Danio rerio: one gene and its partners. The protein of the gene in region 3 purifies or fractionates together with the protein of the main gene of each other region. This does not show direct contact. Links are inferred from orthologs where the notes say so. Each region holds a gene or a part of one and is shown on either strand. Other genes may lie near its edges.

The links. Proteins that work in one complex are often made in the same cells at the same time.
Region 1: the proteins of dhx8 (region 3) and crnkl1 purify together in Homo sapiens (affinity purification with mass spectrometry; 3 studies listed by BioGRID and IntAct, counting the BioPlex papers as one, with this or other methods). This does not show direct contact. The link is inferred for Danio rerio from reciprocal best matches to the Homo sapiens genes DHX8 and CRNKL1.
Region 2: the proteins of dhx8 (region 3) and ppie purify together in Homo sapiens (affinity purification with mass spectrometry; 3 studies listed by BioGRID and IntAct, counting the BioPlex papers as one, with this or other methods). This does not show direct contact. The link is inferred for Danio rerio from reciprocal best matches to the Homo sapiens genes DHX8 and PPIE.

What each region holds. Positions count from the first base shown.
Region 1 is NC_133195.1:52,272,367-52,283,852, reverse strand, and holds the start of crnkl1 (crooked neck-like protein 1), read right to left. Parts: upstream 7,479-11,486; 5' UTR 7,428-7,478; coding exon 7,380-7,427; exon of another isoform or gene 6,924-7,379; coding exon 6,771-6,923; exon of another isoform or gene 6,067-6,770; intron 5,837-6,066; exon of another isoform or gene 5,805-5,836; intron 4,140-5,804; coding exon 4,048-4,139; intron 3,888-4,047; coding exon 3,729-3,887; intron 1,768-3,728; coding exon 1,601-1,767; intron 321-1,600; coding exon 142-320; intron 50-141; coding exon 1-49. Other genes in the region: cfap61 (cilia- and flagella-associated protein 61), read left to right, coding at 10,410-10,552. UniProt on the Homo sapiens protein: Involved in pre-mRNA splicing process. As a component of the minor spliceosome, involved in the splicing of U12-type introns in pre-mRNAs.
Region 2 is NC_133192.1:26,688,038-26,699,440, forward strand, and holds ppie (peptidyl-prolyl cis-trans isomerase E), read right to left. Parts: upstream 7,960-11,403; 5' UTR 7,944-7,959; coding exon 7,913-7,943; intron 7,696-7,912; coding exon 7,597-7,695; intron 7,499-7,596; coding exon 7,455-7,498; intron 7,253-7,454; coding exon 7,226-7,252; intron 7,118-7,225; coding exon 7,036-7,117; intron 6,446-7,035; coding exon 6,342-6,445; intron 5,618-6,341; coding exon 5,494-5,617; intron 5,005-5,493; coding exon 4,819-5,004; intron 4,733-4,818; exon of another isoform or gene 4,703-4,732; coding exon 4,560-4,702; exon of another isoform or gene 4,548-4,559; intron 4,054-4,547; coding exon 3,985-4,053; 3' UTR 3,959-3,984; exon of another isoform or gene 3,927-3,958; 3' UTR 3,828-3,926; downstream 1-3,827. Other genes in the region: pabpc4 (polyadenylate-binding protein 4), read right to left, coding at 10,822-10,920. UniProt on the Homo sapiens protein: Involved in pre-mRNA splicing as component of the spliceosome. Combines RNA-binding and PPIase activities.
Region 3 is NC_133187.1:29,417,525-29,428,910, forward strand, and holds the end of dhx8 (ATP-dependent RNA helicase DHX8), read right to left. Parts: intron 10,083-11,386; coding exon 9,897-10,082; intron 9,713-9,896; coding exon 9,502-9,712; intron 9,418-9,501; coding exon 9,236-9,417; intron 9,110-9,235; coding exon 8,969-9,109; intron 8,883-8,968; coding exon 8,727-8,882; intron 7,262-8,726; coding exon 7,124-7,261; intron 7,008-7,123; coding exon 6,879-7,007; intron 6,475-6,878; coding exon 6,278-6,474; intron 5,000-6,277; coding exon 4,820-4,999; intron 4,731-4,819; coding exon 4,511-4,730; 3' UTR 3,752-4,510; downstream 1-3,751.

The sequences.
Region 1 (11,486 bases), on a different chromosome or scaffold from region 3:
TGGGGATTCGGTCTAAAGCGTATTTATAGATGACTCGAACTCTCTCAAACTGAGAAACACAAACAGAAACGATCATGTATGGACAGGAAACATCAGAAACGTCTCATATGTGCCCGACGACACAAACAGAGTAAGTCGTACCTCTTTCTGCTTCTCCTCAAATCTGGCAAAAGCCACGTAGAGATTCTCGCTGACCTGTTCTTCACCGAAAAACTCCACAGCTCGCTCAAACACTTTCCTGCCACGAGCAACATAGCCGTGCTTCTCCTCAAAGTGGGCATATTTGATCCAGTTCTTCACCTCAGGATGGACCATCACAAGTGCTCTGAGGTTAAGCAACGCAACTAGAATTTTGTATGTAACAGCCATGCATGCCTTTACAAATAAGAAATAACATAACTAATAGGGATGCATGGAGTCAGATCAGTCTCTAATATTACTGCTAACTAGGGTTGTAACGGTATGAATTTTTCACGGTATGATAATCGTCTAAAACAATACCACGGTTTGACGGTTTTGCAGTATACGGTATGTTACAAATGTTACAAAATAATAGAACAGTGAAGCAAATTTGACTTTTTCCAAATAATATATTTTTAGTTACTATAAACAACACCACTTACAATGAACAAATAAAAAAATAAGAAAATAATAAATAATGTGTCAAAGTACAAATAAAGTCCAAATAAACATGGTGCAAATCCTCAGTAAAAAATAGAATAAATAAATATTTACTATACTATAAATAGTTACATAACGAAACTAGATTCAATATGGAACATCCTTAGGTTTTATGTGCCAGCATGGATATGGTTGTCTGTGGATATGGATTCGGATTTGGTTGTCTGCAATGCAGACTAACAGCTGCACCTTCATTTGCGTCTTTTGAAAACAGCAAGAGCAGCAGTTCGTCTTTGCTGTGTCACTGTTTTGTCATGTTTCTGTGCTGCTGTGCATGCAAAAGTACTTAGTATGAGAATTTTTTCATGCAAAACTTTTTTTTTTTTTTGCGTTTTATTTAGCCACGCATAAATGTATGCCTATCTCTCATTCCGTGTTGTTCAAAAAGCTTGGTCCACAAACTAAAGCGAAACCTATGCTTATTGGTTGTGATATAGCGAGTTTGAACCAATCTGGGCATGGAGGAGGGACAATGCATCAATGTATCGTGTCTGGTTTGTCCGGAGACACAGTGACGAGCGTTTCTTTGTCAAATCAGCGTGGTCAAATTTTGATGACGTAACCGCACTGATTCCGGAGCCTCTGAAAGTCCGCGAATGTTATGTGATACAGCACTGGAAAGCTGAGATTCTCTTCTTTATGCCAATCTTTGAATTTTATGAATCGGATCAGCGGATCAAAAGTTATTAAACATTTAAGAGCAATACTTATTTTTAGCCGCGGGCGGCTGTCTCGGTCTTTAAGGGTTAAAACCGTTGATATGCAATTGTTCATGGTATGATAATCGTGCACGTTCAAATCGTGGTAAACCGTCATACCGGTATATTGTTACAACCCTACTGCTAACAGTCGCTAATAATTTTGACTTCAACTGTATGCTATATTTTCGAAGTGAAATGAATTATTCATGAAAGGATATAATTCTCATAGATGCTGCGGGCCTTGTCCACCTCCTTATAGCGCAGCTCAAAGTTGATGTATGAATGCCAGGCCTGCTCCTCCGGTTCCCACTCCATCCAGCGCTCAAACACCTGCCTGCAGCCTGCAATGTTGCCCAGCATCTCCTCCATATACGTGTACTTGTACCTGTGGCACAAACATATAAATAAAACAATCATTCAGAAATGACATGCATTTATTTAGAAGATGATTTGATCTAAAATGTCTTTTAAAAGAAAGAAAACACACATCAAGGATTCAAACAGAAATATAACCTTTGGCCTGTTTACACTTGTTATTAAAGGGATTGCTCACACAAAAATGTAAATTTGTCATCATTTACTCCCCCTTGACTTGTTCCAAACCAATTTGAGGTTTGATCAGTTGAACACAAAAGAAGTTATTTTAAAGAATGTTGCAAACCTGTAACCCTTGACCTTCTTAGTAGGGAAAACAAAGGATCTGGAAGTCAATGGTTGCAGGTCTCCAACGTTTCTCAGTATGTCTTCTTTTGTGTTCAATGGACGAAAGAAACTTAAATAGGTTTGGAACAACTGAAAAATGAGCAAATCCTGACAGAATTTTAATTGTTTGGGTGAACTATGTCTTTAAGATTAAGTTTTGTTGATCCAATTAGAAGTTGACCAGCCTAAATGCAGGTGTAAATTTTGCAAGAAAATAATAATTTGATTTGTGTAATGGGATATTTTATTAATTTCGATGTTCTTAAATATTTGCTAACTGTTTTTAATTGTAGACAGCTTATTTTTTATGTTTTAAAGGCATATCAGAAACATTGGCTCAAAACATTCAAAACATAATTATCAAACAAAACAGTTTCCTTATAAATTATTTAAAAATAATGCACACATACAGATGACAACAATACATAATATGATAACACATGGTCACATAAGATCTTTCAGTTTATCAGAAAATGTAGACAGTTATGTAGTCAAGTTCAAAATGATTCATACCACAGGGAAATTCTGACATGGTTACTTTTATTCAACCAGCAAGTTTTTTTTTTCTTTTTCTTTTTTACCAGAAATGAGACAGGCTTCTCCCAAAAGACAATATGACGATGTACAAGAGGCGTCCTTGCGCAAAAAATAAAATCTCAGCTTTTCTTTACATTTGAACCGAAAAATTTTAGTCAGAATTTGCAAAGGGTAATAATTTTAGGCTTGATTGTATATTAATGTATAAATGCTACATTAGGAACTTTTAATTTATTTTTTACTTTCATTTTTCAATTCTTAAAGAATATTAAATTGATTTAACTGCTTTAACATCTTCTCATTATATTTAACACGAACAATCTTGACCAAAAAGGAGTTTGAAAGAGCATTTGTGACTGCAACTATGTAAACTGCACAAGTTTAATTAACAATATTAAACAAAAAACAAAAAGGTTCAGAAAAAACCTAGACATCCACCCTTCCTCATCAAAAAAGCTGTTAAAAGTGTTTAAAAGTGGAAAAAAACTGTTGAAGTCAGAATTATTACCCCCCCCCCCCCCCCCCTTTGATTTGTTTTTTTTTTTTCCTTTTTTTTATAGTTCCCAAATGATGTTCAACATAGTAAGGAAATTTTCAGAGTATGCCTGATAATATTTTTTCTTCTGGAGAAAGTCTTATTTGTTTTATTTCAGCTAGAACAAAAGCGGTTTTAAATTTATTATGAACCATTTTAGGGTCAAAATTATTAGCCCCTTTAAGCATTTTTTTTCGACTGTCTACAGAAGAAACCATCGTTATAAAATAATTTGCCTAATTACAATAACCTGTCAAGTTAACCTGTCTTAAAAAATATCTAGTAAAATATTATTTACTGTCATCATGGCAAAGATAAAATAAATCAGTTATTAAAGATGAGTTATTAAAACTATAATGTTTAGAAATGTACATTCTCTCCATTAAAAGGAAATTGGGGAAAAAAAATAAACAGGGGGGCTAATAATTAAGGGGGGCAAATAATTCTGACTTCAACTGTAGATGCATCTAAATGGGAATCTGTCTCCCTTATTTATTTGATCCAACTGGCCAAAAAGAATTATAATACCAGGCAATTGTCTAAAAGTATTAGTATTTTGAGATAAAGCATACCAGAACTGATTGACGCGGGGCAGGATGGTAATGGCTCGGTCCCATATGTTGCGAGCGTGATTGACCTGCCGGTTCTTCATCTCCATCTCGGCATACTTCAGCCACAGTGTGATATTGCGGTGATCCACGTCGAGTGCACGCTCGTAGATGGAGCGAGATCTAAAGACAACATCATCATCAAATAGTTTTAAATAATGCCATGTCAGCAACAAATTAATCAATTAATTTCACACAATTGATTATTCATCCTGAAGACCAAAAAACAAACTTCACAGTTCCTGAAATTAAATAAGAATTTTATTTAAGAGAGGAACCTCACCTCTGGACCTCCTGCAGGCTCTCCTCCCATTGTGCGTACTTGATCCAGTTGCTGATCACAGTTCTGTTTTTCCTGATGTTGTCCTCAAAGCCCTGTATTACAAGAAAAGAAAATGTAGAGAAGCAAAATATTCATTTAACTGAGAACTTTTTGAATAATATGTAAAGGGACACATAATATATCGGCAGCCATATGGTTATCGGCCGATAAATGCTATTTTTAAGATTATCGTTATCGATCCGATGTCTAAATTAGGCCGATAAATTACGTTTAGTTCAACTCACAGCGGTTTATCATAAACTTTTCATGATCATTTTTCCCGCAATTGACAGCAAGAACGAACACAGAAGCATTGTCTGATTGACAAGCACTACAGCTATACGTGTTCAAAAGAATCTAAAACGCTAAATAGGATGAATCTATGCCGCATTTTCTAAAGTAATACAACCTGTACTCAACTTTTTGCTTGTACGGTAACTCTGAACTGTCAAAACACCCTTAGAAAAGTTTTTTTTTTTTTCGAACATTACATATTTGTACATATGTACATCAATGTAACACGTTTTATTCAAGAACAATTGAGCTGGTTTCAGTTGTTAGCTCTTTCATTTTCATCTTATTTAAATATATTTAACTTGCTTGTTGATTAAATCCTGTTTTGTTATTTAACCTATTATTTTTATGCAACAGTGAAGTTGCATGTTAATTTGCTATGAAGAAAAGGAAATAATTAATTTTCTTGCATGCTGATTTATGTGAAATCGTGAATATAGGTCTATATAACCACCTTGCAATTTTGAAATTATAGCTTTTTTGGTTTGAGTAGACTTTTCAGTTCATAAGAGCAGTTCAATCTTTTATTAAGTTTAAAAATATAACATTTTTAAACATTTATAATTATCGACCTATATATATCGACTATCAGCCTCCAAGTCTGAAGAGTTATTAGTTATCGATATACACTAAAAAACCCATATCGGTGCACCCCTAATTATATACCACTGACAGTGGCATTTTAACTTTAAGATATTAATATAATTTTATTCTTTTTGACACATAATATACTGATGACATATTTTCTGCAGATGCACTATGTATATGAAGCTTTTAAAGTATGTATCACAATAATACCATGTGTTATTGAGTTTAGTACATGTATACTAGGAGTTTTATAGAAACGAACATCAAATGCGAAACATCAAATTGACAAAACCTTTACACTGGTAACATCATGTTGTGACCAGATGTACCTTGTTGACATAGCATATTCAAAGCATGAACATTAGGGGTGCAAGATATTGAAAAATAAATCAAACATTGACATATTTTGTTTTTCTGTGATAAATAATGCAAAATGAATATAGGTCCATCAGATGCCTTAACTCTATTTGGGAAGTGTTTATTAATTCAGACTGATTGCAATAAAGGATTGAATCATGCATAAAAAAATAACAAAAAATTACAAGTATTGTTACTTTATGAATTTGTCAAACAGCAAACAGGTACAGGAATTGCAAAAAAATCAAATGTAAATAAAACACTGCATCTTCTTTATTGTAAAAATTATTTTAAAAATGTATCTTTATTAAAGGTACAAATGGTCTAATTTCTTGTGCCTGTGTAACAGGGTTAAAATAATGTTTAATTGTCTTTCACCAAAATGGGTTATTTTGTTTATTTTGTGGCTGTTGAGAGACCTCTTGTGGCAACAGTGTGTAATTGTTTCTTTCACCTTTCACCTGCAAAACCCCGCCTACAGCAGAAAATGGTTGCAGAATGCAGAAAGGCGGTAGGTAAAATGTGCTCCAGCTAAATGTGACAAATTTTGTATTTTAACACATATTAATAACACATACAAGCCCAATATGAACATTAAGTGATGTTTTAGATCAAATCTGTCGAGTGATTGCCGTGTGTGACAAACTTTGTGTGGTTTAATTTGCTCATGCTAGGTGTAGCTGGAATGATGACATTAATATGTGCAAGGGTGATTTCTTACTATTTGTTTGGTTTTTTTAGATGCATGTTTAAATGCATACTGTTGCCAGATGATGTATATTTCTGTTACAGGTATGTTAACCTTTTGTAAATAAATAATGTTTTGTTAAAATGACTTTGTGGCAACACAGCAGAAAATGGTTGCTGAATGCAGAAAGGCGATGCATGTTTAAATGCATACTGTTGCCAGAGGATGTATATTTCTGTTACAGAATAAACAACGCAGAACGCAGTTCTCTGTGTCCGCCTGAGTGATTTGCGTCTTCAGGAAGAGAAGCGTTACACCTGGATGCTTTATACGTTCTTGAAATGTTCATACAGCGGCAGTCCATAAAACACAGGCAGACTTCCACTTTATATACATATATAAACTGTCTTCTGGTCAACTATAAACCCAACAAGACATTGCATATCCTCTGAGTTTTCTGAATATGCACTGTGATAATGCCCATGTTTTCTAGAGGTTTACCATAATAAAATAATACATTTAAACCATAGCGATATCATCTTTTATAATCTACACACCATATCAATACCATATTTTCTGAACATCATGATAGCACTGCGCACATTCTATAAGCAATTGTGACACTACTGTATATTTTTGAGGCATATGCCATGACAGAACCAAGCTTTCAGTACATGCACAGTAATTTAGTACTACTTTATGACATATGCATATAGTGACACCATGGTATACTACATGGTGATACAACATTTCATACCTTTCTCTTTTTCAGTTTGTAGTCATTGAGCTCTTCTTTATCGGTGATCTTCTGTTTGGGTGGCGGTGGCAGCAGCTCGAGCTCTCTCTCTTTGGCCTCTCTGAGCAGCTGCTCGGCGGTGATCTGCACCTCTGCAGGGGCTTTATTCTTCACCTGAACACAAACACAAAACCATTACAAAACAAGACAATCTTTAACCCATCTGGTTATAGTTCTATACATTATACAGTTGTTATTTTCAGAGTGGCACAAGTTCACGTTGTTTACAAGCTAATGCTAACTCACAGCTTTATTCTTCACATGAGCATTAATACAAAACCATTACAAAGCAAGACAACCTTTAACTCAACTGATTACATGTATACACATTATACATCAGTTAACTAATTATAAAGTAACGTTAGCAGAACTACATGTTGTTTACATGCTAATGCTAACTTACAGGGGTTTATTCTTCACCTGAACACAAACACAAATACATTATAAAAAAATAAGCTTAACTCCACTAACCACATTTATATACAGTAGTTAATTATTAAGTAACGTCAGCACGACTTCACGTTGTTTACATGCTAATGCTAACTCACAAAAACATCATATAGGTTTTACCTTCGCCACTTTCGGGATTCTCTGTTTGCCCGCCGCGGTGGACGCCATGATTATTACGCTCCTGACACTTTATTAAAAATAAATTAGACGTATGTTCTTGTGTTTTAGATTTCGAAAGCCCGCTAAAACCTGTAAGGTTAGCGACGTTTCAGTGCCGTGTGTGTCGCGCCTGCCGTGACGCGCTGTGACCTTTGCCTGCATCTACGTCACGGAGCATCTCACCATGGTGACAGGACGCTTGCTAGCGGTTAACGTTATCAATAAATAAAAGGTCAGCAGTTTGAGGCTGTTAAAACTCAGTTTTTTATTGTTATACACCAAAAATACCTGTTTAATTGTTTTATGTTGCTTGTGTATCGACTTTTTGTCAATGTAAGTGAATGCTTGTTGTTTTAAAATATTTTTGCCTATTATTGGCTAGTGACTGAGTTCAAAACTCAACATTTTACATTAATAACGTTAACTTACCTCAATTAAATACCTTAAACGTTTGTTATTTATTTGTTTACTGTTAGATCTGTTTATTGTTAAACCGAATTTTCTTCAATGTGTGTGAATGTTTATTTGTTTTTATAAAGGTTAGTGACGAGGCTCAAAGTAAAGTTACATGTAACGTTATGTTATTTAACTTTATTCGCTCACTGTTAGATTTTTTTATAGTCCGACCTATCTTTAATGTAAGTGAATGTCCATTTTTATTAATTTGTTAATTATGTATTGCTTGTTATTGTGTATGAAATAACCGTAAAGAGTTGTTATTTATTTGTTTACCAAAATAAGTCTGTGCGTGCACACAGACGAAAAACATATAACGTACAATTGAAGTCAGAATTATTAGCCCCCTTTGATTTTTTTTCTTTTTTAAATATTTCCCAAATGATGTTTAACAGAGCAAGGAAATTTTCACATTATGTCTGATAATATTTTGTCTTCTGGAAAAAGTCTTATTTGTTTTATTTTGGCTAGAATAAAAGCAGTTTTTATAAAATAAATAAAAAAATAAAATAAAATTTAAGGTCAATATTATTAGCCCCATGAAGCTATATTTTTGTCTACAGATCATTACACAATAACTTGCCTAATTACCCTGACCTGCCTAGTTAACCTAATTAACCTAATTAAGTCTTTAAATGTCACTTTAAGCTGTATAGTAGTATCTTGAAAATTATCTAATAAAATATTATTTACCTGTCATCATGATTAATTAAATAAATCAGTTATTAGAAATGAGTTAGCAAAAACTATTATGTTTAGAAATGTGTTGAAAAGAAATCTGCTCTCCGTTAAACAGAAATTAGGGAAAAAATAAACAAGGGGGCTAATAATTCAACTGACTTCAACTGTATATTACGTCTACAGTTGTGCTCGAATGTTTACATACCACTTATATAATCTGTTAAATGTGAATAATTTTAACAAAAGTAGCAACATAATACAAAATACATGGTAATTTGTAATAAGTATTGTACCATACACTCCTCAAAAATCTTTATTTTATATTCATGTTTTTAATAGGAAGCTGCAGTATTATATTTGTGCAAATACATTAGTCAGTACTGAAGCCAAATCTGGAGCTTATCAAACAAAACAACTTACAATAACGGCCCAAAAACTAGAAAAGCCAAAAAATTTTATAGGAAAATATTAAATACAATTTTTTTTTTCAAAAGAGGAAAAATCAAGAGAAGCAAAAACAAAAAAGGAAAATTTTGTTGAAATTTTATAGGTTGTAATTTACTTTAGCTAAATTTAGCTTGATTTTATTGTATTATCTTTCTATTTCTAAATATGTTTAGTGACTAAAATATCATATTAATAAATATATCTGTTTAATAAATCTGTTTTGTTTAAATGCACCAAAATGCATTGCCTATATTCAATAAGAAATCAAAAATATTAATAAAATAAATAAAAATAAATATTAGTTTTAAATATAAATTTTTATTTAATAAGTAATAAAATATATTGATAAAATAAAATAAATATTAATTTAAAATATATAATTATTTAAATATTTTAATAAATATAAATTTTAAACTATAATTATAAAAATATAAATTTTCTAAATGGGGTGTTCTCAATTATGCTGAGCACTGAACTTGCATGTTTCCTGGAACACAAATAAAGTGCAATTTACCTTGAATTTACTTTGATTCGCTGCTGGAAAGAGCTCAAATCTGCAGAGGAGGCTGTAGAATCTAGGGGACATGGAGGGGTTTTTTTTTTTTGAAGAACAGCAGTCAGTTGAACTGCTCAGAACAAACAAGAGACTCATCAACAACAAAAAAACACTGGTAGATCATTAGGAAACCACAAACCAAACTTTTGCAAGGGGTTATTTTTTAAAATTTCACCTATGTTTTTTTTTTGTGCACTACATATAGACATATTTTATGCAAAATAGCTTAATCAGGACAGTACTTAATAAACAATAACTAGGCCCACACAGAATCTGTGCTTGCAGAAATGTGAAAATTTCGGCAGATTTTTAGTTAATCATTGAGTCTACGTGTGTAAATGTGTGTAATTTTATATTTATTCACTTTTTAAATTAATTTCAGTAATATTATTGACTAATATAAAATTGTTCATTTGATTTATTTACAATGAAGTTTGTAAAGTAATATTTTCCGTCTTTTAGTAGATATATTATATAAGAGACTTGCTTTGTTTATTAAATAAGTGGATTTTGGAAATTGGAGTTGCATTGTAAATGTTAAATATTAAAATTAATATTTAACATTTACAATTTTTTATTTCATATATTAAGTTTTTAATTATGATACTCCCAAAATCGCATAAATCAGCAGTTTTTTTTTACAAAATTCTCTGCAGAAATAGCAAAAATGTCCACAGATTCTGTCTGGTCCTAAAAATAGCATGCGTTTTGTATGATCTCTCATATTTTGTTACAATTATTCACATTTTAACAGATTCTTCAAGGGGTATGTAAACTTTCGAGCACTGTAATAACTGTATAACACAATTTATGTCTGTGTCTAATCACACATGTTCATTGTATTAGAGAAAATGAGCACCATCACTTCATCCACTGGTAAAGCAGAAAGTGTGACCGTGAGGAGAACTGAATGGTCAGATGCTGAAGAGATCAATCATCTGATCAGTCCGGCATCTGTTGCCGTGTTCGGGAGACTTAATGTCATCAATCTCCTGTAAGTAAGAAGAGTCATGAAAACTAATAAACCAGGAAATATTACAACACATATATGGGTTACATTTAAGAGGTCACAAGGCTTCAAAACAGTAAATCACTGAAAATATTATTGATTAGAGGTACTAAATTTTATTAAGGTAAGTGGTTGCAAATAATTTATAGGCTGAATTTAAACAAATTAAACATTACTAAATTTAATTTGTTTAAATTCAGCCCATAGAAATTATTTGCAACCACTTACTTACCTTAAAAATTGTAAATCCAAGAAATTATTTTTTCAGTAGGCTTTCATTTTCTTGCATTACATGTGTTTTTTTTAAGGATCACAGTGGAGCCTGATAATACTCAGTTTAAAACTTTATAATTTTCCACTATACTTCAAACCATTAGGTTTTACCCATTTGTTAGCAAGACATTTTTAAAAATATAATATTGAATGTTACAGGTTAGGTAAATTATGTTATTTCAAAATTCGATAAAAGATACTGAATTTATTTTTTCAACCTTATTTTGACTCTATAGTTATTTAAAACCTTCAATGGGACCTATTATGCCCTTTTTTACAAGATGTAAATTAAGTCTCTGATTGTGTGTACGCTGAAAAAAATTATTCAAAGATGATTCCTCGAATTTACTTACTTTTTTTAGATTAAGGTGTTGTAAACAATTAGTTTATGTTAAATTTAAACAAATAAATTAAGCTGAACATTACTAAATTTAATTTGTTAGTTTAAATTCAACAAATAAATTGTTGCAAAATTAATTGTTTTTCAGAATGTGAAGTTTCAGCTCGAAATACCACACAAATAATGTTTTATAATGCCTTGAAACCGATCCTAATTGGGCCATTTTGGTCACTCACTTTAAATTCAAATGAGATTTGCTTTTTTTCAATAGAGGGTGGAGCTACAAATGCGTGCGTGTCAGCATAG
Region 2 (11,403 bases), on a different chromosome or scaffold from region 3:
ATTTTATTTTATTTTTTTGTAATTTGATGCAAAAATGATATAATACAAAGTAATCTGTAGCTTTATAAAAGTATGTTTTAGTAAACATCAAAATATGAAAACTTTTAAGATGCTAATGACAGTTGATGTCATCACCATCTTGTGAAAATAGTCTATGAGTCGACTTAACCGAACAATTTTTTTCTTTGCTGTCATTGGTAAACGTCTGTCGGTGCCAAGTGCATTAGCCTTGAAACGGCAATGAAGAGCACAAATGAACAACTGAAGCACATGATGTAATAGCCAACCTGTTTCCTAGCAACAGATTCTATGCAAATAGATTTTGAAGTAGATATGAAATGCATTTTTGAACTGCATAAAAAGCTCTCAATCCTAGAACTTTCATATTGCTGGAGTTGATAAACAAGTGTCTTTAAGCAGCTAAAGAAGAAGCCATAACCTTTACTAACATTGGAATTGCATTAGGGAAACATTAAGAGCACAAAGCACTTCAGTAACTGCTGCTACTCGGATTTTACTGGATCACAAAGGTATCAAATTGAATCAGTGCTTCTCCTTTACAGATTTTGCACTTTTATAAGGAAGAGTCCGGAAGGCAAAAACAGTGTCTGTTCTTAATATACCAATCATTGCCAAAGATAAAAGATTTCGCAAACATTCTCATGTTAAATTACATTCTCATAAGCAATACATTGTACGCAATATTTATTAATCATCCATGATTCAGAAGTTAACATGCTGTGGTCCACAGTTAAAGAGATAGCTCACCCAAAAATTAAAATTCTATCATGTGCTCACTATTATCTCATCACAAATCAGTTTGAGTGTCTTATATTGAACACTAAAGAAGATATTTTGATGAATGATGGAAACCAGTAGCCATTGACTTACATAGTATTTGTTTTTTCCTACTATGTCAGCCACTGGTGACCGATTTGCAACATTCCTCAAAACATCTTCTTTTGTGTTTAACAGAAGAAATCAAATCAAACATGTTCAGCAACTCTGAAATAGCGAGTGGCGAGTAAATTGTTTAATTTTGGGGTGAACTATCCCTGAGAAACATTTATTTTGTGGACATCAAATTTTTATTATCTGCAGATAGAAATATTTTTGTTGTCGTTTTGATCCACATAATGAATTTCAGCTGAACCCATCAAAGTGAGGCAGACACTACAATTTAAACCATTCATATTGTGTCTATAGCATGTAATGAGGCATCATTGTGTAACTTGGATGTTGCATTGTGTGTAGACGCCCTGTGATATTCAGATTTGACTAAGATATAATTGCTTCAGTATTGCCCAAGACATTTCTGGAAAGGAATAATGGTTGTGGATTTTAGTGTCTTTAGTGTAATTCTGTTGAATTAAACTTAAGGGAATTTGATTATGAGCATGAATGTTGGTATGATTTTGAACTTGAATGTGAATATTTTGCTTACTTAATATGTTTGAATCAACCCCATGTGCTTTAATCACTTTTAACAAAGCTGGACACAGGCAGCACCGTCCCGTACATCCCCTTCAACTTTGCTATGGTTGGTTCCCTTTCAGTTTCAATGGGAACATTTTGTTTTAGTTTAGACCTATTTTTTTTTATTTTAAAGTCTGATAACTAAAATACTCTTCAGACATTCAATTGATTGGGATGCCGTTTCGCTGGGATGCTGGGCAAGCAGTCTCATATGAGTGGTTGGTGTTTGTTTGCTGGTTGCTGATGTGCATAAAGCTTTTATGCTTTAAAACAAATGGCTTGATGGCTTTCTTTAGATTTAGAATTTTATTTAATGTTAAACTAATGTTTATGTGTTTACAATAAAAGATCTTTTGTTTTCCTCGTTCATCATTTTATCTGTCACTTTTTCTTTCTTTTTTGAACAAAAAAGGAGTCTGAGATATTAGAACATACAATTCATTGGTTTCACTTTTTAGAGAGCTTTACTCATGCAGGTGAACTGAAAGAAAAGTAATCCCTTATGTAGGCTGAACAAACGTGCAGCATGTTAAAAGCTCAGATCCTTAATCTCATCGACTATGCTAACATAAAAACAACAAGCATACTTGTGGAAAGATTAAATCACCTTAATAAAATTGCCTTTCTTTTGCTTTTTTGTATCTGCTCTGTTGGATGTGACGTGACTTGTGTAGTCACGTCACACCCAACGTGGTTTTCTGGAGCAATGCCGCCATCTAGAGGATGAATCAGTAATGCATTATGTTCCATAGTGTCAATTCCCGTTGTAAAACAGGCCAATTCAAACAAAACTCCGTGATACTCGCAGAATCTTTAATATCAATATACATGTACCCAGGAGTGTTAGGTATTAAAATAAAATGTTTTATTTTATTATTATAAAGGTTCACACAGCTTATATTTCCCACCTATGTTAGTAGGACTCTTATTCTGAAAACAGGACGGTTAGCTACATCACCTGCAGCATCTTGTGTTGGGTTTGTGACAGCTCGTGGTCATAAAGCTAAATTCGGGAAAGACGGATTGGGAGTTATTCTGCGCCACCCGGATGAGGCATAAGGTCTGTTGTATTCTGTCTTTTGTTAGTTTAAAGTGTATATTGTGAAACTGTCCGTTTGTTTCAGACACGTGTATGAGGCTGTCTATGGAATAGGCTAAGTTACAACTGTAACGTTACATTAGTAACAAGGCAACAAACACATACAATTATTTAATTTCGAAACACTTTAGTTGTGTATAATTAAGCCCATATTTTATCTGCAGCACAACTCTGGAACAGTTATGAACAGGTCAACTTATTCCCAATGTCAAACTTTTCCACTTCAACCATTGTCATTTGACAATTTGTTAAAATATTTTTGATAACTTGTGCATAATTATTTTGCACGTGTTATTTAAGAGTGCATTAAACTATGAAAGCAGAGCTCTTTAATATCCACAGCCCTTCCAAATAAGGTAAAAATGCTTTTAATTCTAGAGACCATTCATATGGCTCTAAATGGGCTTGTTAAGCCTCTCTAGATATATTTTGCATTTATAAGACACATACCTTGTAAATTTTAGAGAACAATTTAAACAAAGCATTCATATGGCAACTTTAAGTAAAGCTTCCTTGAGAACTACAGGAGCCAACAAATGACGCGAATCAGAACATTTCATCAAAGATGTCCTAAAACTATTGAACAACACTCATTCAATTTGCATCCTCTTCAAAAGCCGATGCTCAATTGTTATTTAACAAATGTATGTTTAATTATTTATTAAATTGATTAATTAAATGGTTTATTACTTTGTGTGTAGGCTTTACCAAAATCACACAAGTGTCAATTTCACGTCACATTCATAACGAAGCGTTTTCCTCGTAAAAGCAAAAATGTCAAATAAATTAAATTAAAATAAAGTCGTTTTTTTTTTTTAAAGAGCCGACTCATCCTTTTGATTGACATTATTTCTTTTGGGTTGTGCAGATTAAGTCATGGAATTTCTACAAAGTATATTGAGTACTGTAAACTCATAGTTATTTTGGTCACAATCATAATGCATGCTTATTTTCCTCATTTTAAAGTTAAAAAAATGTTTACAAATTGATATTTTTCTCATCCCATAACTCTGTGGTAAGTTGTTTTGGAAAATATAAACGGATGTTTCAATATAATGTTAACATACTTTGTGAATTTATGTTAGGAGTTTTTACTGCAAATGTCACATCCAAAATGCTGGAATTGCTCATATATTACTAAAATAAACTTTCCCGTTCAACAACTGTTTTGTAAAGAAAAGAAATTAACAAAAGTATTGAAATTACAAACGAATAACATGGCAACCATTTAGCACAAAAATAAAGATATGTATTTAAAAAAAAAAAAAGATTTATTTAGATATTTACAAAGTACAACAAAAAACATGTCAACAGCTTTTCTTTACATTCTCTCACTTACACACTTACACACTCTCACACACACACACACACACACACACACACACACACACACACACACAACGTTGATCTCAAACATACTCTCCACAGTTGGAGATGATGACCTTCTGTTTGGGTTTGCCATCTTTTGTTCCCTGAGCCTGAGAAACAGCACAAATACAAAGCCATCAGAAACAGGGCAAAATGTAACTTGAATATATTAAATGCAAACTATGTAGTCTGAATTTCCTAAAAGGCAATTAAAACTTTCAAAAAAGCAAGGTTTCAACAAATCAGAATTGGCAATAAATATATTTATAATGCTACAAAATTATTAAGATTATAATTTTTTTAAATAAATTAATGTCAAATAAAAAGTGCTCTTTTGACTTTAAATTCAAAATGAATCAGTTCCCACAAAATATTAAGCAGCAAAGCTAATGAAAAATTATTAAGCAGCAAATCAGCATATTAAAATGGTTTCTGAATGATCTTGCAACACTAAAGACTGGCTTTACCATCATAAAAATAAATGCATTATTTGTGTTTAATCACAACATGTAGTCTTGGTAAGTATTAGAGACTAATTACAAAACATTTAAAAATCCTTTAACCACTAACTTTTGTCAACATTGATTACAAATCTATTCTCCAGTCAGAAACGCACCTCCATGGCCCGGAGCACATCCATGCCCTCTGTGAGCTCTCCGAACACCACATGTTTGCCATCCAGCCAGTCTGTCTTATCAACAGTGATGAAGAACTGTGAACCGTTAGTATTGGGACCAGAATTGGCCATCGAAAGCTGACCTACGAGCACAGTCAAAGACCAGATTTCAGGTGACTATCAACAATCATACTTGCTGATTATTCTAAGACTGTTGCAGTGAACAATAATATAATCATAACAGTTCTTTTAAACTCACCTGCATGGGTGTGCTTCAGGACAAAGTTCTCGTCTTCAAACTTGCGTCCATATATGGATTTCCCCCCAGTGCCATTGTGGTTGGTGAAATCTCCACCCTGGCACATAAACTGAGGGATGATTCTGTGGAAGCTGCTGCCCTTGAATCCAAAGCCTTTCTCATGTGTGCACAAACAACGGAAATTTTCTGAAGAAGAACAAACAAATCAAGCCAAAAGGTTTTTACAATGTTGATGGGATAGAAGTAGGACCGAGTTTAAAAGGATAATGCTGTTATTTTCCTCCCTCTTTGGTCATCACAGATGACAACTAAAATGGTGGTCCTTAATGATTCATAAAATGTCAGTTAAAAAAATATCATGTGTGTATATATATATATATATATATATATATATATATATATATATATATATATATATATATATATATTATTTTTATATTTCTATTATACAGGCAAAGTAGATGTCATTATGTTGATTTGTAAGTGCTGTTGCTGCTCTCAAGGCATTGCATTTATAAATAGATTTGCATTATATGAATCACCATGGACAACTTTCTAGCATTTTTACTTTAGCTAGAATAGGTTCACCATGAATATATACATATAAAAAATTTGGTGAATTTTTATTCCATGCTGACTTTAAGCACACGCAGGAGATGGTTAAATATGTCTGACCTGCAGTCATAGGCACAACATCAGCTCGCAGAAGGAAGCGCAGTCGGCCTGCAGGTTTGTTGCCAATCTTGATATCCATATAGACTTGAGGATTGGTTCTGCCTTTTTTTGCTGGAGGTTCTCCCTGTTCAGGAACATAAAATGCCAATCAGAGAGTATTTACAGGCATCAGAGGGCAATTCAACACCTTTTAAGACCTTTTTAAGACTCTTTCAATACATTTTAAGGCCTTGAAACCACTTTAGGTTTCAACTGGAAACACTGGCGAGATTTTAACTTATAGAATATTTACTGAATATTAATGTAAGAAACTAATCTAAAACTAAAACACTATTCATATACTGAATAAAAATTAATTTTATCTAATACAGCAGATTGACGCCAATAGAATTGCAGAAATAATGGTGTTGTCTTGGTTACTGCAGTAAACAAAATTGCATGATGTCAAATCTAGTAGGATTTCATAAACTACACAGCATCCTGATATTTGCAGATTTAATTCAGGCAAACTTTGGCATACAACCATACATTGCATAATCAACAATAATATAAAATATATTATTATTAAAAAATGTAATACCTTGCAAAACAGCAATTAAGAATATTTAATAACTTTTAAGGGCCTTAAATTTCTCTACATTAATTTACCAACTTTTAATACTTTAAGACCCCGCAGACAACCTTAATCATAGAGTAATAATGATAAAACTAATTTAAAATGGAGCATTAGACTTTGAAAAAAATACATATATAAACAGTAAAATCAAAATGACAATGTTAAGTTATTACTATTATTTTATTTACCATCCAAAAAATAAATAAATAAACCAATACTGTAACTTTCGGACCTCTTGTGTCTCTGTACTTGCTGATTCTGCAGCTGACTCGGCCTCTTCACTCTCCTCTGCTTTCTTCCCCGAGAACTTCTTCAGCCAGTCATCGTCAGACCACACTATAGGCAGAACAGCATAATTTACTTTATGCAAGTGTATTAATTTAGAGTGGCAATCCCAGAATAAAGGTGTTAGGGGCCATTCACTTTTGACATCTTTTGCACGTGCAAGTTTGTTATTCTCTGTTCAACCGAAACAACGATGGTGAAAGCACACAAGATGATGTTATCTTAGCATTTCATCTTAGCATATCACTCAAGTTGTTGCATGTTTTCCAGTCATTTTTAGGATTGATTTGTTATTTAGAATAATAACTGTATAATAATAGTAATAACACATACTGCTACGAGTAAAGACAAAAACACTAAAGAGCCTGCTTTTTATAATTCAAACTTATATGTAATTTAACTGAAAATTTGAAAGCAAACTACATTTTAATGAGCTATATCATTGTAACAGATGTTTTCTGATGTTTTTGTTTACAGCATCAATACCTTTTAGCTTAGTTTTGTTTATATATATTCTTATGAACTCAGCTTTAGGTATGGGTGTAAACAGCATATATTTATAAAGTACAAATCAGAAGTTGGCAGTGAGTATGTGTCAAGACATTAAACAGAAAAATCAACCACAATCAATTTTCCATCACCTGGGCGAGAGGAGCCCTCTTTAATTCTCATGGGTTTGGCGATGTTCACCCTGATGGTTCTGCCAAACAGCTCAGACTCGTTCTGAAAAACACATTACCAAATGCATAAAAACCTCCACTCTGCACATCCTGATAGTGTTGAACTTTATAAATCCACAGAATTCAGTAAATTCAAATTCGATGAACTCACCATGTTATCAATAGCAGCTGCTGAATCCTAGAGGGGAAAAGACAGAACTTTAATTAAGTGACAAATTGATACCAAAGCTTCTAATGCAGAGAAACAACAGTACAGTGTATAAAGTAGCAACACTGTTTGAATAAGTGAATCATAAAAAGCATCAAAGTTAATGTCACTTTGATGATGCACATTTCGCGTTATTTTAACTTAATTCAGTGTAGATGTATATGATATTCACCTCTGCCAGCTCGAACTCGATAAAAGCAAAGCCTCTGTGTTTCTCTGTTGGTAAAGACAGGATGTTAAAGTGGTAGTAAAAATCGGTCGTACGTTCACATGGTAAAGTTGTAAAGTAAATGTAACTTCTGTGTATTTGTCACCTGTCTCATAATCTAACGGGATCTGAATATCTGTAATGTCACCGAAAGGAATAAACGCAGCGTGCAGCACTTTCTCATCCACCTCCTCTGCAAGACCACCTAGAAAATAATAATAACGTTTCACTTAGTGCGATATGTCACTTTAAACGGACTGAGCGCTCAACTCTTGCTCATATTTCATGAATTGCTGCTTTCCCGGATACAACTAAAAACGTGTACTGCGTCGATAAAAATGTACGAGGCTAGAGGATTAAACTAGCCAACTGAACGAGCAAAACGTTTGTTAGTTAAATTAATAAATTTTATGTTTTCTTACCAACATAAAGAACACGTTTGCTGGCCGCCATCTTGCGTGTAACCTTTGACTTCAGGCTGTGTTCTTCACCACTGAGGTTTGGTATGTCGCCCTCTGGTGAACTGGAGTAAAATCTGATTGACATTTTGACACTCTGGATTCATTATGTACTTCGGGGGCGCCACAGTGGAGAAAAAAGGTCGCTGGTTTGAGCCTTAGCTGGGTCAGTTTGGAGTTTGAATGTTCTCCCTGTATTTGTGCTGCCCACACTTCTAACAACCGTCTTTTAAACAGACTAATGAATGCAAATAGGTTGAATGTGATGTACATATCAGTTATGTATATTTGTGCATAGTTGTAATTAAAATATACATTTTTAAATTGTGCTTTCTGCTTGTACTAATGCAACACGTACATTTCTATCACAAATAAAAAAAGAGTTTAATTATTTAATCACTATTGTGAATTGGCATGAAAAGCAGTCCAATATTTAACGCAAAGGTACTGCATTTTTGTGAATCAGTTAATTAAATAGTACTATCATGATTTATAAAGTTTCTATTGTGATATTACTAAAGTTGCCATTGAAAGAAAATCTGGATATACATATGCATAATTGAATAGGCCTAATAATAAGTTTAATGCATGGAAATAACATACTGTGTGAGCCTCAAACACCTCATTCTCATGTAAATCCAGGGTAAAAAAAAAAAAAAAAAACAGAAAAATAAGCAAATCAGAGAATAACACTGACAGTTACCTCAGGAATATTTGATCGCTACAGACCCTGATAGAAACTTCTGTTTAGAATTCTGAAATGCGTGGCACTGAGCAGTTTCTGGTGTGCGACCTGCTTTAGATAGTATCTATTTACAGCTTGTCTAAACATAAAATTCAGGAAAAATAGAATATGTTTAATCTGCTGTTGAACTGTATCTTTTGTTGGTTTAGTGTAAATTATATTCACTTTGCTGTTTATGTTTGTAATGAGGCAACAGACACATGTAAACTATTGAATTAGCATTTAATGCCCATTTATGCCTAACTCGGGAGCAGTAATGGACAGATAGATCATCACTTGCTCCTAATGCGGACCTCTTCTTCTCAACTTGTAATTTGACAAGCTCTCTACTAAATTTGTTTAAATATTGTTTTTGACGACTTAATGATTATTTTGCACATTTGTATTTCAGAGTACATCACACTGTGTGAGCATCAGAGACATAAGCGTCATATTCACAAAATAAGGTAAAAACAGCTTTTCATTCATTAATTTTCTCTTCAGCTTCGCCCCATTATTAATTAGGGGTCGCCACAGGTGAATGAACCCCCAACTTATCCAGCATATGTTTTACGCAGTGGATGCCCTTCCAGCTGCAACCCAGTGCTGGAAAACACTCATTCACACTTATACACTACAGTCAATTTAGTTTATTCAATTCACCTATAGCGCATTTCTTTGGCCGGTTAGAAATTTAGTATGGCTTGACACTGTGCATGACTGTCACATGTGGCATCAAAATACCACGACAGCGCTCAGAGATCAGTTGATTGAATCAGCCGGTGGCGTATCTGAAGAGCGACTGCAGGAGCTGCGATGACAACACCGATATTACACGATCGGCTGGATTCACCGCAGGACAACAACGACATGTGATTTGGGTTTATTATTAGACAAATTTCATCTCACAAATTTCATAACAGTCAGTTGGCGTTTCGGTGTGGAGTTTGCATGTTCTCCCCGCATTCGCTTGGGTTTCCTCTGGGTGCTCTGATTTCCCCCACATGCGGTACAGGTGAATTGGGTAGGCTAAATTGTCCGTATAGTGTATGAGTGTGTATAGATGTTTTCCAGAGATGGGTTGCAGCTGGAAAGGCATCCGCTAAGTAAAACATATCCTGCATAAGTTTAATAAAGGGACTAAGCCGAAAAAAAAATGAATGAATGTTGTATAGGCTACTTAAAATTAACTCATAAATCCCTTATTGTTTAAAAATGAACTATAGTTTGTAGAGACTGTATTCTCTTTTATTTTTACTGTAAATCTTTTGTTGTTAAAAATAAATGATGATGATGACGCCATGTGATCGGTTATCATAACTGCCACGACTTTGAGCACCGAAGTGTCTGGCTTGACAGCTCCGTTTTCAACTGCGCTCGGCTAATCTTCTTGATCACCGACTGCAGCCGTGGTTTAAGTCGAATACACCTATTGGCTCCGGTCATGTGATTAGTATCAGCTAAAAGTAAAATAGGATATTATTAATATTTATGTCAGCATTGGCCAATTAAGCAGAATATTTAACCTGTATATGAATGAACTGTCCATGTGGTCATTTTTGATAAAAAAATAAAATAAAATTATTGTCACCAAAAATGGCCTTCTAGTCTTGGCTAAATGTATATAAAAAAAAGAAACGCACAGAAAATAAGTTCATTTTAAATAGTTATCCCTTTATTTAGAGTGCCACACCACTCAAGTTACTGTCATGGGACAAGTGAGGTCCAATCAAAGCAGCAAACTCACAGCTCACAGAAGAAGCACGTCAGCACTTCCTCAGGAAAAAAAATCAGTCCTGGCTACAAGACAGAGGCTCTTTCCTCACAGAAAGACCTCTTCTGAAAATCAACTTCAGGTGATAAAAATCATTACAGAGTTAACAATATAAGCCCTGCAACAAAACGGTTTTCTTTATGTTCAAGTATTGTTTTGTATTTTTCTCTTTTTTTATATATATATATTTTCTGTTTTCTGTTTCTATTGGTTGCCACCAGACAACACCAGACAGTGGTGATCTCTCTTCAGCTGTTCAGCTTCACCCTGTGGAAAACAAATTTAAATTAAAGCAAATTTTCTGAATCATTTTAACCACGGCCAGAAACAGCCTGGACACTAATAATAATGATTAATAGTGAGGAACGTTACTGGTCAGGATGTTGCGGCTGCAGTGGCAGCAGTGACTCCCACTTTCTGTGTTGCGTCTTTCTTGGCCTGATGAGCCTGAAGCACAGCGACAGCCTCCTCCACCTGAAAAACACAAATAATCACTGAGATCTGTTCATGAGTTCACACTTGCAGACCATCAAATGAATTACAGTGATGTCTCTGAGCTGGAAATAAAACCCTAACTCGCGTTATCCCCCTTGACAGGAGAGAGAGCCGTTCGAGCGCAGTGTGTAGCCTGGCCTCAGAATGCTCCTGGCACTGGTTTTGAAGGTGCAGAATTGGGTTTGCAAAGGAATGCTGAAAGCTGAGAGATAATGGAGGTAGGGGGTATTTGATTACTTTTAGGGGTTTATTCTTATCAGTGGCGGTTCTAGACCACCGTAACTTAGGGGGGTGGGCAGGGGCCACTTGTTCTTTTAGGGGGCACACTTTAACATGAATCACAAACTACTAAACAATTATTCAAAGTCTAATGTTTCATGCATCACTCTGCAGTCTTCATAAACAAGCTAATTAAATAAGTTAAACTCATAATCTTCCACGTTCATTTATTTGACAAGTAAG
Region 3 (11,386 bases):
TTCACTGTGTACTGTAACGCTTTCCGGTCGACAAATTAAGAAAAACACGCTTCACGAACGTACCACGTTCAACTTTCGCGCGGTAAGCTTCAGTCTGTACATGGTCCATATATGGGCAGTGCAATTTGATTGGCTAAAAGAATAGGCCTTTTTCACACTTCCTGGTTCCGGTAAGCGAAGCAGTGTACCACAACATCCGGTTTCAATGCGACGGAGCAAGAAAGAATGGCAGGGTCATCTCATCGCTGTGATTGCCGCGTTCCCAGCTGCTTCAACTCAAAAACGACACTCTTACTTTAATGACCACGATCTCCCGAAAGACGAAGGACAGGGAAAATCATGGATGACAATATTAAAGGGGGTTGAATGCCGTTTCAAGTTATATGTGGGAGTACGCTCGTATGCTGTATGCACTTCAAAGCGGAGATTATCATGTTTCATTAAAGACTGGTGGTCTATGGTTTATTTTGATGAGTAATTATAATATAGACAAAACTCCAGTTAAACTATCTGCCTTCCACAAACAAGTGCTCATCATGGTCATTAATCTATTAGCATGATTTATCCCTACATTGTTGTTATTTTGGAATAATAGACAGTTCATACAAATGCAAATCTCTTTTTTTTTAATTGGTTTGACAGTAAAATTATTTGTTTAGTCAGTTATATAATAAAGATGGTAAACTTTTCTTACAATGAAGTCCTTTATTACAAAATCAAAATATTACAAAACCCAGCAAGTTTTCAACTGTTATTGGTTCAATTCCTGCAGAGACATGTTATTCATTTATGTTATTTAGAGGTATTAATAAGACCATCCTTCTGATGCTTCATCTTTTGATATTACTAAATCTTATGTCGGCAAATTTTGTTTTACTAAATACCAAGAGTAATGATAGAGCTATTCATACTCTTTTCCAAAAAGAAATCATTACTGTACCTTATATTCAATTTTATTATATGTCTTTATTAAAGGGTGAATTGAAGAAAAGTTTGGCTGTTACCACAGAAATATCATGTTAGAAATAGAAATAAAGAAATTTCCTATAAACTTATCCACAGGTTTTATCCAGCAAAACATTGTTTGCAAAAATGTAAAAGTGGGATTGATGTAAATTGTATTTTTGTAACGAATATGAGGAGATAGTTTTACACTTATTTTGGCATTGTACATAGTCAGCTTATGGGGTGAGTTGCAAAATGTATTAATAACGATTCTTTTGTGTTCAACCTCTTTCATTATGGATAAATGTACATTTGGACTTTACTTGATTATCCTAATCTAGAGGGAAAATAGTTTTATTTATTTAATTTGCTTATGTTGTTAACAAAATTGTACATTCATAAATATAAATTTACTAATATGAAACCAGATTTTAAGGTATTGATGACTGAAATATGCTTGTACAATACCAGTATCAACTCTCTAAACAAGAAACTCGACCCACTTTAAAATGTGTGAACTCTACAATGTATTTCATTATTACATATGTTATATTACATTTTGATTATTTGTATTTTATTTATAATTACCCCCTGGTATGTACATTTTTGTATTGTAAAATGTTATTTTCTGTTCTTTAAATAAATAATAAAAATGAATATTATCCACGAGTAGGAGCTAATGTGTTTCCAGACTTGAGAAAACCTCACGAGTATTAAACAACCTGTAATGTATTAACCGATAGCAACTCGCCTGTATAGCTAACTTACCTCGCCATTCACTATATCTGACTCTGAATAAAAAGGAAGGAGGGGGTTAGCACAGTTTACAGACGGGACTACCGACATTAAACTCATCCTGCTGGATGTTAAATAGCCAGGTTAATCTAGCTTACGAATGGCTTGAATGAGCAGATTTTATGCTGTTGGCTGTGCACCTTACTGGAACCTGATGTTGCAAACGCAAACGGTAAGACACGTTTTCTGCACAAACTCTGCAAATCGGTATCATCTTTTAAAAGCTGTTTTATTAAGGCAGTTTTACACATTCACCGAACAACATCTTCTTGTCCAAATTATGGCAAAGTTGACCGTGAGAAAGTCATCCGCTGTCCCGATGCTGTCATGTCTCTGCGACTCATAGCGAACCCGGAAATATCGATACACTGCTTCGAAGGGCGCTTCCGGTGTTCAATTCCGCTGTGAAAAAGGTCTATAAACATCTGACTGGCAAAAAAGAGGCACGTTTCAGCATGTCATTTCAGTTATTATTTTTACATAGCATTTTATTATTTTTTCAGCCTAATATTTATAGCCTTTTAATAAGAAGTGCATAATGCCCAAATATAAAACCTTGATAATCAGAAAAAAGTCAGTGCAGACTTTTACTTAATTTTGATGACTAGTGTTGGGGTAACGCATTACGGGTAACGCGAGTTACTTAACAGTATTACTTTTCTAAGTAAGGAGTAAAGTAAGGCATCACAATGAATCACGTAGTGAAAGGGGGATTGTGTTCATTATTTTTAACGCATCTAAGAAAAGGGGGACTGTCTCAATGGACAGTGATTTTAGGCAAATACATTAGTACAAAAGTAGCAAATATATTGCTTTAAACTGTCTATAATCTGTAAACGGCATATATACAGTAGCTCTGAGGTAAGGAAGTTCTCAGATAATATTCATTCATTTTCTTTTCGGTTTAGTCCCTTTATTAAGCTGGGGTCGCCACAGCGGAATGAACCGTAAACTTATCCAGCATATGTTTTACACAGCGGACGCCCTTCCAGCTCTGGGAAACATCCATACTCACTCATCCACACTCATACACTACGGACAATTTAGCCTACCCAATTCACCTGTACTGCATGTCTTTGGACTGTGGGGGAAAACAGAGCACCCGGAGGAAACCTTATCCTAATAATTATAATATTATCCTAAAATATTTTTTAATGTTTTTTTTTTTAATAAAAGTAAATGAAGGTGTAGTTTATACATTGTGTTGTTAGTTGCAGAACTCCTATATTTAAAAATATTTTCTACTAAAACTGAATTGAGTAGGGCTCGGGATATTAATTGTTTGGCAAAATAAACATTTAATCAAACAAAACAGGATTTAATTTTGAGCTGAATTTCGTTTTCAGCCAGATAAGCAGATGACACAACTTTTAAAACACTACCCTTTATTATTATCATTTTAAATGTAGATAAGTACGCATGTAATATTTTAAGCTCACTATAAATCAAAAACAAGAAGGCCTTTTTAAAAGACAGAAGCTGCGTCCCAAATCGCATACTTATGCACTATTCTACGCCATTTTGTAGTATAAACAGTGTAAGTAGTGTGTTCACACTGAAAACTCTAAAAATCATAAGTGCACTTTAATTACCCGGATGATGCACTCATTCAGCCGCTAAAATGAAGTGTGTAATGATGGACACTTCACGCACTCAACGACCGCAGGTTTGCATACGTAGCGGAAGGGGCGGAGCTATCGGACGCACATGTTGGATAACTTTATTTTGGATGGTGAAAGCAAATTTCTCCAACGAGAGTGATTATAGCGCCTCCCGATGGTGAATGCGGAAATACTCATGGCAGGTATTATTTGATAATTCTGTTGTTTATTTCACTGATTTGGCAACCGTCAAACGTCATTAGGGAAACGGTTTGAATTTCCGCTTAGTAAAAAAAAACATTAGTGTGCCATTTGGGACACCACTTCATACATATACTATCCTGTTGAGTGTGTAAGTGCATAAGTACATAGTGCATGAGTGCATAGTGTATAGTGTGCCATTTGGGACGCAGCTAGAGAGTTTAATTTAAGATGTATGACATAACAAAAGCAGAAACGATAGCAAAAAACTGCAGGACATTTCCACCCCATCACTTCCTGTAATAAAAGTTTTTATACAACATTTTCACAATGGTCCAATACACTGATCCTGTGTGCTGTTTAATTCAAACATTAAAACAGAAAAGAGGTCCCAAATAAGGATGTGATTCGTGTGTGATAAAAAAAAGTGGTCGTAACATCCTGTTCACTTGTTTATGACCAGACTTCTGCAGAGAAACAAACTGAATTATTGAAAATCCTTTCCCTCTCAGCGCTTTAATCAACATCCACTGACCAGACAGATGTGCCGTCATCCGATTCTGTGACACACATGACTCGTCCACAGAATCTGGACAACAGTTGCTCTAATATTCTTGATAACTTATGAAAAAAGGACTGTTTGGCCTACAACACAAGGCTAAATATCCAATTATCATACACAAATGTACCCAAGACTCAATGCCTACTGAAGCACATACAGAAAACAGATGTATATAAAAATGAAATGCCTAGCAAAAAATAAGGGCAGTTTCAATTTTTGAGGGGAAAAACTACAATAAATTTAAGCATGTGGTGCAAAAGAACAGGGAACATTATTTTCGAGTCTTTTAAACACATTTTTAGCTTCTGTCCATGTTATCCTCCACTTTGCTAGCAACACAAATTTGATATTTTGTTCAGCATCAGTATCAGACATTTGCAGTTCATGAAGACCTTCTGAGAAGACGCTAGCGTCGTCTGAAGGCTCTGGAGATTCTCCAGGCGTTTGGTTCCTCGTAGCGGTTGTAGAGAGGCTCCAAGCGCTGCTGCTTCTTCTGTTTGCTGAGGCGTGTGGGATCAGACACTTTGAAGAAAGCTGGAGCGAATTCTACAAGCCATCTTGGATCGATGGTGGTCACTTCCCTCATGTATTCTTTAGTGGTTAGCACAAGCTCATGGTACACCACCCTGAGAAGAAGGAAATAATAGTGAAAAACATGCAATATTGATACTAACTGTGTAGTTAATACAGAAACAATCTCATCTTGTAAACGTACCATTCTGGTTGGCGGTTGAACAATGCGCTGGAGGGGTGGATGTAGACCACCTGCTGGTCTATGAGGGTCCTGTAACCTTCTTGAGGATCCTTTTTGGCTGCATTCCGGAAGAAACCACTGCAGATGGCTTTCTGTACACGCACAGTAGCCTTACCGCACGATACCACATCCAGTTTGTGCCTGAAAACAAAAATTTTATGTGTAATTATTAACAAAACGTAAAATAACTGAAGTCTAAGATCTCTGAATTATAATTATATGTATTAATAATTGTATTAATTCTTTGTGGATAAGAAATTCCACAATGCAGGTGTTAAATTATGCTTGTGTTGTTAATCGTTTCAATGTTTTTCCTATTGTTTTTTGTGCCTTGATTCCTCAGATCAATGCTAACGCTCAACATATGTGGCGCCACCTGTCAGTGGTTATTGGATGCGCAGCAGGCGTTGCTTTTAAAATGTCTCTTTATTTTTTTTGTGACTTTTAGCCAGTTGATTAGTTTCAGATTTCCAAACCAAGATTCTTGAGGTCACGTATTACCAATTTTGTGAAGTTTTTTTCAATGTTGTTAAACAATTAATATGTGGTAAATCAGAATCAGGAAGAGCTTTACTGCTTGGTATGTGTACACAAAGAGTTTTAGTTAGTTAGTTTAGTTAGTTTTAATGACAGAAGTCTACACAGTGCGACAAAGACAGTTACAGGACAAAGACACAGATAATAAAGAAATAAAAAATAGGAAAACACAATTTTGACAAATGTGTGTACAGTGTATTAATATATACAATAATGTAAGTATAGCTATATTTTTTGTGCAAATAAAAATTAACAATAAGTGTTGTTAAATAAATAGATGTACGTGTGTATAAATATTGTGCTTCTCAAAGTAGGAGGGAATGATCCTTGTCTGTTTTTGTAAAGAATAGTGAGGTTAAGCGTAAATAATTTTTTCCTTCATTTTTTAAAAAAATGGTTTCATTAATGTTTAATTAAAATAACTGGTTTTCTAGACTGATCTCATTTTATTATTTTGGGCCATGGGTTTCTGTCAAGTTTAATATCACTTCTCTTGATAATGTTTTTAAATGAAACTTATTAAATGCGTTTTCTTATTAGTTTTATTTTTGGTAATGAAAGTACTCAGCATGTTTCACTTCACTGACATTAATTCAATTAGTTAAGTGGCTTTAAAATACATGTCACAGTACAATATAAATGCTAAAAAACTTTGCATATTCTGTATGATAAAAGTATTCTTTTATAAAAACGAATTACCTAAAAAATGTAAAGTGGTTTAATCTGCATTGTCATGTGTAGACAGGATGTTAGAGGCTGTGATTATGCAAATTGCCGCATTTTTAAAAGCTAAAAAAAATATTTATAATATTAAAAGCCTATCACAATCCAATTTATTTTAAAAAGCACAACCAAGCCTGTATAAAGTTCCAATCCCCTCACCTGTCCATGATGCCCAGCATCTGTTTGCGGATATCCTGTGCACGTCGAAGAGATCGGGCTTGAATGAAGTTCTCGTAACACCAGGGGTTAGAAAACTTGTTGTTCTTCCAGGAGTTATAGACAGCCAACAAAGTCAGGTGGTCTCCCTCAGGCTGGTGAAACTTGGCCTTCTTCTGGTCTGCCAGAGCTTGTTTGTCCTGAGATTGAAATCATTTTAGGATCAGTCTACTTGGATACCTTAAACTCTATGTAATGATATAATGTCAAGTTCACAACAAACCTGACAAGAGCATTCGAATCACATCAATTACTCTAGGTCAGTTGCGGGATGTTTTTCACCTCACTAATTTAAATGTTTTTTTTTAAATGGCAGAGAAGACATGATTAAGGCAAATTTATGCGAGATCGCAGCAAACGCATTGCAAAATTGGTCTCATCTGCACTGCTCTGCAGAAATTCACTTCTAATCCCGTGTTTGCATTGACTTTGTATGTAATCTACTCATGCATACACGTTTGGTATGAATTCACATTTGGTATGAAGCCAGCATAACTGTGCTTAGCGCACTACACCTAGAACTGTGTGTGAGCTAAAATAGTACCTTTGGTCTGTAGAAGACATTCTGTACTGAAAGCATTGACACAATGGTCAGCATCTCTTCACTGCAGCCAAGATGGACAGACATGATCAACATCTTACAAAGCATGGGCTCCAGAGGAAACTCAGCCATCTGATGGGAACAGTGATAAGAAACTTAATACTGTATTCTGCAGATTGAGCAGCTACACCCAAAACCATGATAAGAGAACATTCCTAAGTTTCAGCAAAGAAAATGTGCACACTTACTCTACGACCAAGGCGTGTGAGTAGACCTTCATCATCCAGAGCGCCCAGAGTGTACAGCTGCTCCATGGCCGTGATGAGTGTCTCCATAGGTGGAGCATCCATAAAGTCAAATGACAACAGGTCATTGATGCCCATAGCCTGATTAGAGGACAGAGAAAAAATGTAAATATATAAAAAAAGTGTTTTAATCAATGTCATTTTTACAGCATGTTTCAGATTGCAAACAAACAAATTACATTAATAATTGTGATGAATGAGAAAGAGACAGATGTGATTTGCATAGCCATTTCTCAGTACTCATATGCCATTCTGCACTTATATGCATAAATGAACCAGACTAAAAATGCAGGGCACCAGGTTATGAAACAAATGTTCAAAGGTAAGCAAGGTGTGTAAATGCTCCAATTAGGCATTATGATGCAGCAAAGTTTATCTTTAATCATTCTTTAACCCTGTTGTTGTCTTCGAACTCTGTATAGACCACAAATCAAATCTTAAAAAAAAGAAGAAAAAAAAAACTCATTTTCATCACAAACCCTGTGGATATCTAGGTTTGCTCTCTTCAGTGTGGAATTTTTCATCAATGTTTAATCATTGGGCAAAACTCTGAAGTAAAGGGAATATTTTTAATGCTAAAAGTACCTACATGAGTGTGAAAAGTTTAGCAAGACAGTAATAGTAAAAAGCAGGAGATTCTTGGTATTGGAGTCTGCATGTGTGTGCCAGTAGTTTTTGTGGTGTACAAATTGACCTGAAAGACAACTGTTGTACCCTAAACATGTACATCCTTCATGAAAATGTAAAGAAAATAAATAAAGATAAACTGAAAATGGAAAAAAATGGATCTGTAGGTTAAGAGGGGAGTTAATGTAATTTAAAATGTAATCAATTTAAAAAACACTGTTAAATATACCCTTTAGTAAGCATCAAGACGGAAACCTCTAAATTTATTTCACATAGATTTTAGTGATCTATTTACATGAACAGTATAAAATCTTAATATTTTGTATTATTGGTTATAACCTTACATTTAGTACATATCTAGAGGTGTGAACCTACACTGGTCTCACGGTTTGGTTCTGGTTATAATTATTATGCTATCGATTTGGTTTAATTCGATCTCTTGAACAGCATGAGCATTAATAGCAAATAAACAAATGTAAACATCCAGCTCGAGTGTTGTCGAGCAAGTTCTTACACCCAGGGCTGCGATTGGTTCAAACGATGTTCACCGATGAGCGACACTGATAAACAGCAGCTGTAGATGATGCATGATTGATGCGGGGTTCTGAAGACACACTCCAGTGTGAGTGAAAGACAAATGCACACATAGTGAACTGTGCAAAGTTTCTGCGTTTTAAGTCGTTGAAGTGTTTTAATTACTCATGCTCACCTCACCACAGTAAGCTATCGCAATAAAGCACATATGAGGTAAATGACATCAGTACAAAACTGTTATGATCCATTACTGAACCGATTCCGAGTTGCACCAAAGAAACAATTAATTTTGACACCCCTAGTACTTACATATACTAAAATGTCTAAATAAAACCATGTTAAAATATAGTGTAACATGCTGTAATATTTTTGTGTGGAACTATACCTTGAGAGAAAGTACAGTGCTGGCCAAGTTGGTTCTCTGAATCTCAGGTACATTGGTTGTGAGCATCTCATCCCTGTAGGCACGTTCTGTGTAGAGTCTGTAACACTTCCCAGGGCCTGTTCTTCCAGCTCTACCTGCTCGCTGCTTAGCTTGAGCCTATGAACCATAAACATGAGGTTTAGGAGTCAAGTACCTTCTGATGAAAACAGCATGTAGACTGGGTTTATTGTAGTGGCTGATACCTGTGAGATGGGGGTCACCACTAGCTGATCAATGCCAGTTTTAGAGTTATACACCTTCTGCTTGACAAAACCTGGATCCACCACATAGTAGATCCCATCAATTGTCAAAGAGGTCTCAGCAATGTTGGTAGCAATGACCACCTAAGAACAGCACAGAAAAAGCAGAATGGTTTGTTAATGTGAATTAAAATCATGTAATTAAAATTTTCTGGGAATTCTAGATTAATGTTTGAGGTGACCAAAGAAAGGAGAAACAACAGATGGTACCTTTCTACTTCCAGGTGGTGCTGGGTCAAAGATCCTGGTCTGCATTTCACTGGGCAGGGCAGAGTAGACTGGGAGAATGATCAGCTCTGGAACATCAGGACCGAGAGATTTCATTCTTTCATAAAGGATCTCACAAGCCGTGTCAATCTCCTCCTGACCCGTCAGGAACACCAAGATATCACCTGCACAATGAATAATTTTTATTAATTGGAACTGTTTTTCAAATTTAATAATTTTGTTTTGTAGAATTGTGTTTGAAAGCTTACCTGGAGGTTCAGTGAGGTGAATCTGCATGACTGTGATCAGACTGGCATCCAGATAGTCAGTTTCAGGTTCTTTTGTATACAAAACCTCTACCGGGTATGTACGACCAGGGATTGTAAAAATAGGTGCTTCATAAAAGTACTGTGAGAATTTCACGGCATCCAGTGTGGCAGATGTCACAATGAGCTTCATGTCAGTTCGTTTCTGTACAGTCTAAATAATCAAAAAAGGAAAGAAAAACAAGACAGTGTAAAATAAAAGAAAGTAAAAGAGTAATTTCCTTAAAAAAACACTAACAATAGTTGGTATTTTAAACAATATTTTAAACAATACTCCAACATTTAGAATTCTGAACAGTATAGAGACTGACTAACAAAGTCTAAAATGTGAATTGTACCTTCTTGAGAAGGCCGAAGAGCACGTCTGTGTGGATGGTCCTCTCATGGGCCTCATCCAGCATAATGATGGCATACTGGCCCAGATCAGGGTCAATAAGACACTCTCTTAACAGCATACCGTCCGTCATGTATTTAATGACTGTCTCAGGACTAGTGCAGTCCTCAAAACGGATGGTGTAGCCAACCTGTGCAGGCACAAAAATGAATGCTCAGAACGTTATATTGAAATGTTTGTAAATTGTTGTCTATACTGTCAAAATACTTGTAGTATAAACTAGGGATGAGTAATGATTCGAATTGTCCCAAATTTATTCATTGAAAACTGGCTAGCAAAGGCTATTGATATTTCTAAAAGGGATCACAGAACACTTTATTTTAGGCATACGGGTACAAGCATGTACAGTTGAGGTCAGAATTATTAGCCCCCTGAATTATTAATCCCCGTTTATTTTTTTCCCCAATTTATGTTTAACGGAGAGAAGATTTTTTTCAACACATTTTTAAACTCAATAATTTTTATGACTCATTTCTAATAACTGATTTATTTTATCTTTTCCATCATGACAGTAACTAATATTTGACTAGATTTTTTTCAAGATACTTCTATACAGCCTAAGTGACATTTAAAGGCTTAACTAGGTTAAGTAGGTTAACTAGGCAGGTTAGGGTAATAAGTAGGGGTGTAACGATATTAAAACCGAACCGAAATATCGCGATACACCAACCACGACACGTATCGCGAAACTCTCGTGGCGTACCGCGGTACTCTCACGCCCCCTGCTGCCCATTGTTGAGGTTGACGTCACTTGTCTCTAACTAATTGAACCAATTTAAACACATCTTTATTATCATATTTGATTAAATTGTTTTAGTAATGATGAGGATTTGTTCTAAATATTATATTCTAAAGTTAGTATTTTAGTGCATGTCATGTCATGTGACTTGAGTAAGCATCCCACTCGTTACTACTGGACGCAGGATGGCTGCTTCACATAGAACTGAGATTGCAGATCCCCCAGACACATTTAAGTCATCTGTGTGGAAACATTTTGGTTTTCCAGTTGAGTACAGGAATAGAATTTGTGTCGTAGACAAAGCCTTACTTGTAAGGAAAAACATTTAAAAAGTGTGGTAATTTCACAATGTGAGGGTGTAAGCAACAGAACTGCCAACAAAAGTGATTTAATGTACAAAAGTAAAACCAGAATAATGCCTGAATATACAAAAAAAGAGAAATATTTACACTAATAAAAATAATATAATAAAGTAACAAATTCAAACAAAAGTATCAAACAAAAATTAGTTAAACTCGAGCAAGGGGGTGATAGTGAAGACAAACAAAAGAAATAAATATAATAAAACAATTCTAACTCATGAATGACCCCTCTTACCTCGCTAAAACTGATGAAAAGAAAAAAAAGGTCTTCAGCGCCGTGCGCCGCATTCTTCCATATACTGAATAAAATAAACAAAGATAACCTTCACCTCT